Linked DNA regions of Nothobranchius furzeri. The protein of the gene in region 2 purifies or fractionates together with the protein of the main gene of each other region. This does not show direct contact. Links are inferred from orthologs where the notes say so. Each region holds a gene or a part of one and is shown on either strand. Other genes may lie near its edges.

Region 1 (3,652 bases), on a different chromosome or scaffold from region 2:
ACCTTATACTGCCCACAATAAAAGGCCACCCTGGAATGCACAGTTTTTTGCTTTGTTGGGGGTCTGGGGACTCAGAACCAGTCAGTATCTGGTGTGGCCACCATTTAGGGATGGGTACCTTTGACATTTGAATAGATTCAGTACTAATTCCCGGTACCTAGGAATCGATACCGGTACTTAACAGTACCAATTTTAGATACTTTTGAGTGTTTAATATTTTAATTCTCTTTTATAATTAAATATATATTTTTCTCAATTTATAACCATATTTGATAAATATCACAATAAATATCATTCAACTGTTTGTATTTTAACATCGTCCTTATAGTTTTATAAGCTGATAATTAAACTGAAGCAAACATCTTTACTGTGAACTAAATTTATTGTGTATCTTCATTCCTTTTGCCGTCCTTTTTCATTTGATTTTTCCTACTGGGAAGTTAGAATTTCCAAGGACAAAGCGAACGCACCATTAGCTGATAACAATGGTGGCAATGGAAGCTAACATATCAAGCTAACGTTATCTTAAACAGATTATTTAGCTGCTGGAGCAGATTTAAACGATGATGCCTCACACTTAGATCGTTGTCACTGGTTTCATCTTCACCCAATCACCCGCCGCATTTAGTAAAGTGAAGCCAAACTTTTGAGCGCGTTCATGTTCTTCTAGCCGGAGATTCGGAATTCCGAGGAGAAAGCGAACACACCATTAGCGGAACGGAAGCTAACATATCAAGGTAACGTTATCTTAAACATTTTATTTACCTACCGGAGCAGATTAAAATGAGGATGTCTCACTTAGATCGTTGTTGATGGTTTCATCATCACCCAGTTATCCATCACATTTAGTGAAGTGGACCCAAGCTTTAGCGTGCATTCTTTCTACCATGCTGCTCTGTTTACAACTCGCTCGCAGCGACCGACGACATAACGCTCTTGCGCAGCTGTCTAGGCAAGTTCTCGTTATGAAGGACGGGTACCGAAACGAGGCACCGTTTCAAATGACGTGAATCGGTGCTCGGTCGGTACTATGGAATTCGGTCGGTACCTTAAAAAGTACCAAATTCAGTACCCATCGCTACCCTCATGCAGTGCAACACATCTTCTTCGCATAGAGTTTATCAGATTGTCAATTGTGGCCTGTGGAATGTTGGTCCACTCCTCTTCAATGGCTGTGCGAAGTTGTTGGATATTAGTGGGAACTGGTACACGTTGTCGTATACGCCAGTCAAGCACATCTCAAACATGCCCAACGGGTGACATGTCCGGTGAGTATGCTGGCCATGCAAGAACTGGGACATTTTCAGCTTGCAAGAATTGTGTACAGATCCTTGCAACATGGGGCCGTGCATTATCTTGCTGAAACATGAGGTGATGTTCATGGATGTACGGCACAGCAATGGGCCTCAGGATCTCATCACGGCAACTCTGTGCATTCAAAATGCCATCAATGAAATGCACCTGTGTTCTTCGTCCATAACAGATGCCTGCCCATACCATAACCCCACCACCACCATGGGCCACTCAATCCACAACACTGATATCAGCAAAGCGCTCACCCATACGATGCCACACACGCTGTCTGCCATCTGCCCTGGACAATGTAAACCGAGATTCATCTGTGAAGAGAACACCTCTCCAACGTGCCATTGAATGTGAGCATTTGCCGACTCAAGTCTGTTACGGCAACGAGCTGGAGTCAGGTCAGGACCCCGATGAGGACGACGAGCATGCAGTTGAGCTTCCCTGAGACGGTTTCTGACAGTTTGTGCAGAAATTGTTTGGTTATGCAAACCAATTGTTTCAGCAGCTGTCTGAGTGGCTGGTCTCAGACGATCTTGGAGGTGAACCTGCTGGATGTGGAGGTCCTGGGCTGGTGTTGTTACACATCGTCTGCGGTTGTGAGGCTGGTTGGATGTACTGCCATATTCTCTGAAACGCCTTTGGAGACGGCTTATGGTGGAGAAATGAACATTCAATGCACGAGCAACAGATCTGGTTGACATTCCTGCTGTCAGCATGCCAATTGCACGCTCCCTCAATGCTTGTGGCATTTTGCTGTGAGACAAAACTGCACATTCCAGGGTGGCCTTTTATTGTGGGCGTATAAGGTACGCCTGTGCACTACTCATGATGTCGAATCAGCATCTTGATGTGGCACGCCTGTGAGGTGGGATGGATTATCTCAGCAAAGCAGAAGTGCTCACTATCACACATTTAAACTGATTTGTGAACAATGTTTGAGAGAAATGGTGATATTGCGTGTCTGGAATAAATTTTAGATCTTTAAGTCCATCTCATGAAAAATGGGAGCAGAAACAAAGGTGTTGCGTTTATATTTTTGTTGAGTGTAAAAGGAACAAAAATATTTAGAACTGTTTCTGAAAAAGAACTGAAACAAAATAAAAGCAGTTAAATATGAACTGGAGTCGGGTCGGTGTGTTTGGTGACACTACAGCAGGTATGGACCTTCTCCAGGGTTAATTAAATATTAGTGTCCAATATTTTAGGGGGCGACTTTTGACCAGGCAGTTTTATGAATAATGAATTAATTATTATTCTAACTTTTTTACATGTAAAATGAAACAGTTTAAATAAATAAGAGGAAAATGAAAAAGGGAGATAAAAGAATAAACAAATAACTAGGGGTAAATACATGGACGATAACTATAATACAAGGACGGCTAATGAAAACATATTAAGGTTGGTTTGGAAGAAATTCAGTGACATTTGCTTTATTACATATAATAAACTAGTAATTGCTAGGGGCGCACCGGTTGTGGTTTCTGACCGATCACCGATGTTGAGAAAAACCGCATTTGCCGATACCAATTTTGTCTCAACTAAAAGCAGATAATGTGAATGTTTCAATTTCCTTTTATTGAGAAAGCCAATATGAACACTCATGAAACAATGTTCTCAAATCTAAATGAACATATGTAGCGTTGCCGTTTGAACTACAAAACCATATTTGTTCCTTTAGACATTCATTTTTCTAATTTTGAAGACAAACCTTTTGTACCTGTTTTGATAGACTTGTACAAAAATATTCTATAGCAATTATTTGCTTTTACATTAACTATAGGGGTGCACCGATTACAGCTTTTAGCCCATCACCAATATGAAGAAAAAAATTATATCGGGGCCGATAGATCAGTGCACCCTTAGTACTTGCACTACTATACCATTGCACTACTGTACCATTTACATATCTGGTTAACTTACTCGTTCAAACCAGCTAAAATAAATGAACAACAACAGAAAGACACAGCTGCTGATGGTGAGACTTACTTTGGAGAAGTATCCGACTATGTGCGCTCCCTGCTTGTTGACCTCTGTGAGGATGTAGAAGATGAACGGCTCCACGTCAAAATAAAGTGTCTTATGGTCCAGAAACAGCTTGGCCAGCAGACAGAGATTCTGACAGTAGATCTGAAAGCAGAACACAAGTATTACAGCTAAGCCTGTGAGACGTCTGGAGGACCCGTGCTGCGTCCACCTGCGCGTGTCCTCACCTTGTGGTCTCGCCCGTCCACCTCAAAGACTGAGATGTTACTTCTCCGGTAGATCTCTTTTCCTGGAGGCTGTCTCCACTGACAGTTAGACTGAGGAGGAAAATGTTTGTTATTGATACTGAAGTAAACTACAGCAA
Region 2 (4,113 bases):
TCTGTGACCTTGAAAAATTAGGAGAAAAAGACCTTTAATCTCTCCAAAAAACTGTATATGTTGCTTAGCAAATGTGTGTTCGAATAGAAAAGAAGTGTAATCAGGAAAAAGCGGAACTTGTGACACAATCACTGCTTTCTTTGTTGCATTGACAGTAAAATGTTCTAGTTGGAAAAAAAAATGTTGAAAAAAGATCTATTTTTGTACAAAGGTAATTTTAGCCCCGGCTTATGTACTCTGTTCTTTCCCTTCTTTCTGTGGGTTTGTCATGTTCGCTGTGGAAAAGCTTACTCGAGTCTCATGGGGGGGTCAGCTTTGGCACTTTGGTAACTGTCGCCTTTACTTTGCCATTTTCATCCCGTCGCTGCAAGTCGGGAATGTTTCTGCTCATTATAGTTCTTTTTGTTCATTTTCAAGATGAAACGTTTTGCCATCTGTTGTTTGTGGGTTGCTCTAATGTTCTACCATGGACAGAAAAAATGTTATTGAATAAAAGATTAAACTTTGAAGTGATGCTGATTGTGAAGTAAAAACACATGAAACATACAAAACCGGATTTTATTTAGCAGTGGTCAGATGCAAAACAAATATCCACAGGTTCAGCTAGGCAAGATGCTGCTGGATTAGCAAGCGCAGCTGCGAGCTAATCTGTGTGGTGGAATAAAACAAGCTTTATGCCAGTGTGATATATACAGATTTAGTCAGTTTAAACTAAGAAAACACTTTAAAAAAAAGGTTACCATTACTTTAATTCACACAAAACTTTATTTCCCTCATCGAACTATAATTTGCTTAAAAAAACTCAACAATCTGCTGCCAACATCCAATGACATTTGAATTAGATTTCCCGTTTTGGTACCACTTATATAAATAAAAAAGGGTATTTGATGCAAATTTCAGCTTTTCTGTAGTTTTTCCACACAAATGAAGACAACTCATTGGAAGGACCAGTAATCATTACATTTATTGTACAAGAGCTGTTGTGAAGCAGAGGCAAATGCAGTGTGAATTATACTGAAACGTCAGAACCGTCTTTTAAAATAAGTCAGTGTTTCTCTAATGAGACGCAGAGAATCCGGCACCAGAGGGGCGCGTTCGCTGCAGATACGATACGTAGGGCTGAGAGGAGTTTGCCTTTCCCTGCAGAATTTGATCAGCTCTCAGCATCCATTAGAAAAGGGTCCTCATGTTGAACAGCACAATGTAGGAAAAATAATAAAGATGAACAGCCCCAAAACTAAAAAAGGAGGGCGTTTAGCAGTCGCTTTTCCATAGCTTGATGGTTTTGTCGTTTTCTAACGCTGCAGATGCAATGATGTTCTCTGTCGGGTGGCAGGCAGTCGAGATGACGACGTCTGGATGTAGACACAGGAACGTGTTACACACACACACCTCACTTCAGATCTTTTTAAACAAAGCTGCTGTACCTGTGTGCCCCTGGAGTTTCTGCACAATCTCCTTCGTCTGCAGGTTCCAGATATAAACCATGTTGTCCTCCGAGCCAGACACGATCCACTGCAAAAGAGCAGAGGCCCAGCATCAGATCCCAGCTACACTCTGCAGCTCCTTCAGCACTGAGAGGTCATACCTTTCCCCCGGTGACAGAGAAGTTGGCGAATATGCAGTACTTCTCGTTTTTATGGCCCGTGTACGTCTTCAAGCACTGAAATGGTGGAACATTTTTTAAAAGTCAAATTCACACTCTCTGAAATGTCACCATCAATAAATGTATTTTTTATTTATTAGTTCAAAGCAAATGTCTGGTTCAAAAGTAACAGGGTTGGAAACAATCAGCTTATGAAAACTGTAGAAGCAGGCAGGAATCTGGCTCAGCTCTGTTATTGTGATCATTACAAGTAAAAAAGGCATTTCCAAGAGGAAGAAGCTTTACCTTCAGACATTTAAACGCTATTCTTTGTAACAGCTGGTTCTATTGCCAACTTTTGGTTTTAAAAACATTCTAGATGACTCTTTTTTTCCTTTTGGACACATATTTAGATCTGCCAACAGAACCAGTTTCATCACTGACCCACCAAACAAGTTCACACCGTTTTCTCTTCTGGACACCAGTAAAACCAGCTGAAACTGTGTTAACTGGCTAGTTTTTATATTACCTTTTTATATTAGCATCAGAGAGAAATCTTAAAAACTGTAACAACAGAAGAAGTTGCCTTCTCTTTTGCATAGCTATAAAAACTTCTGCCAAAACAAATCCCTGTACATAAAGAGTAACGGATGTCTTTATTTTTGTTTACCTTTCCTTTGCTGTAATCCCACAGCTTCAGCGTGCTGAAAAAGTAGAGAATGTGTTGAATGGTTCCAGTAACAAAACCAAAGTAGAAGAAATGCTTGTTTCTCTGTAGAGAGCGGACATCGTGGCGCTGTGCCGCCCCCTGCAGGGTAAAGCCATGCACTCACTTATCCAGTGTGGCAGCCAGGATGTATTTCCCGTTGGGAGAAAACTTCACAAACGACACTGGAGGGTTGTCATCATCTGACATAAAAGAGCAAACAAGTAGAAACAAACGAGTTTAAACAATAACGTCACAATTTAAAAGATATTTTAAGGGATATTGGTTCAAACTTACCAATGAGAGTTTTTAAACACTGTCCGGATGCAGTGTCCCAGATCCGACTGGACAAAAACAAAACTGTTACTTAATAGGAATAAATAACCATTACCCTGCTGTAGGGTCAAAAAGGCAACTCAGTTAAGTTCTATCGGGCAGCAGAACAGAATACTAATTCCTAGACAGATTGTATTTTGAAAACCCAACTGTAATGGGCTCGACACACGGGAGGCGACAAACGACCGCGAACAGCGAAATTTGTCGCCGTCGCTTTTATTACCTGTCACACGGGAGGCGACCCGCGGCAGCGGCCAGCGGCAAAGCCGTCTACGCATTCTGTTCCGTGGCGAAATCGAAACTTCCGTTGTTTTGTTTGGCTGTGTCAGGTTGGAGGGAATTAAGGTTATTTAAGCGGTTCAGAGTTAAAAAAGCGGTAGATATGATGTTTCACAAGGTGCTGCTAGAGTTATGTGAAATCTTACTTCTGATTTTACTATAAAACATAATAATAATCAACTTCTCCTCCATGTTTGCTCGGAGATGTGCAGAGCATCCTGTCCGCTCATTGGTCAGTGAATGAAACCTCCGTTGATTGGTCCTCGTCCGAGCGACAGCGATGCAAAGTTGAAAATGTTTCAACTTTCTGGGATTGCGTCGCTGGGTCGTCCGTGCACGACACGTGCACGAGCGCAAGATTTCACACGCACGTTTTTCGCGTTTCGCTTAGTAGGAGAGAGACCCGCGATTATCGCTTTGTCACGCATGTCTCATTGAAAATGAATGGAGGAGAGGCGATGTCGCCTCTCGTGTGTCGAGCCCATTAGACGAGCACAGCCAGAGAACCAGAACTAAGATCCTGGTGGAACAGAAGGGACTCACCAGAGGCCGTCGTAGCTGCTGGACACGATCAGGGAACCGTCTCTGTTGAAATGAACCTGCAACATCAAACACGCGTCAGCTGTTCACACAATCCTGTCACATTTAAGAGATAAACTTCAAGTTTAAAAAGAAATAAAACTCACAGCAGAGACAGGATCAGAATGAGCCGGCAATGTCTTCAAACACTTCCCAGTTTTCACATCCCATATCCTGACGCTCTCGTCAAACTACAAACGGGGCAGAGATCAATAAGAACCGTTGTTGGGTTTAAAATCAGAGCTCCACAGTCGGCGGCGTACTCACCGATCCTGACACGATGAGATTGGACTGCGGGTTGAAGTTGCAGCAGAAGACATAGTTGCTGTGACCTTTCAGAGTTTTTAAACACTTTCCCTGAAATCACATAGAAACCGGTTCATGTGGCACATTTCAAATTCAAACACACTAGAGGTTCTTCACTCAAGTTTAATACGTTTGCAGTAGCTCCTAATAGGAATGAATGCCTTGCAAGTCGTAGTGCGGAGGGAAAAAAAGCTCCGGTGCACCTGTTTCAGCACAGAGAAGTTAGAGGAGAAAGTAGCATCAGATGACAGGATTTCAAATTTTACTTCCTGATATTTGGACGTCTCGCCTTAGATTGGATAACAGCAACACAGCTCTACCA

What was found. The genes of interacting proteins can lie anywhere in the genome.
Region 1: the proteins of wdr5 (region 2) and kat8 purify together in Homo sapiens (affinity purification with mass spectrometry; 5 studies listed by BioGRID and IntAct, with this or other methods). This does not show direct contact. The link is inferred for Nothobranchius furzeri from reciprocal best matches to the Homo sapiens genes WDR5 and KAT8.

What each region holds. Positions count from the first base shown.
Region 1 is NC_091745.1:17,466,420-17,470,071, forward strand, and holds part of kat8 (histone acetyltransferase KAT8), read right to left. Parts: intron 3,606-3,652; coding exon 3,516-3,605; intron 3,433-3,515; coding exon 3,292-3,432; intron 1-3,291.
Region 2 is NC_091746.1:41,699,638-41,703,750, reverse strand, and holds the end of wdr5 (WD repeat-containing protein 5), read right to left. Parts: intron 3,843-4,113; coding exon 3,753-3,842; intron 3,677-3,752; coding exon 3,593-3,676; intron 3,506-3,592; coding exon 3,450-3,505; intron 2,636-3,449; coding exon 2,589-2,635; intron 2,495-2,588; coding exon 2,419-2,494; intron 2,290-2,418; coding exon 2,256-2,289; intron 1,664-2,255; coding exon 1,589-1,663; intron 1,516-1,588; coding exon 1,428-1,515; intron 1,356-1,427; coding exon 1,255-1,355; 3' UTR 545-1,254; downstream 1-544.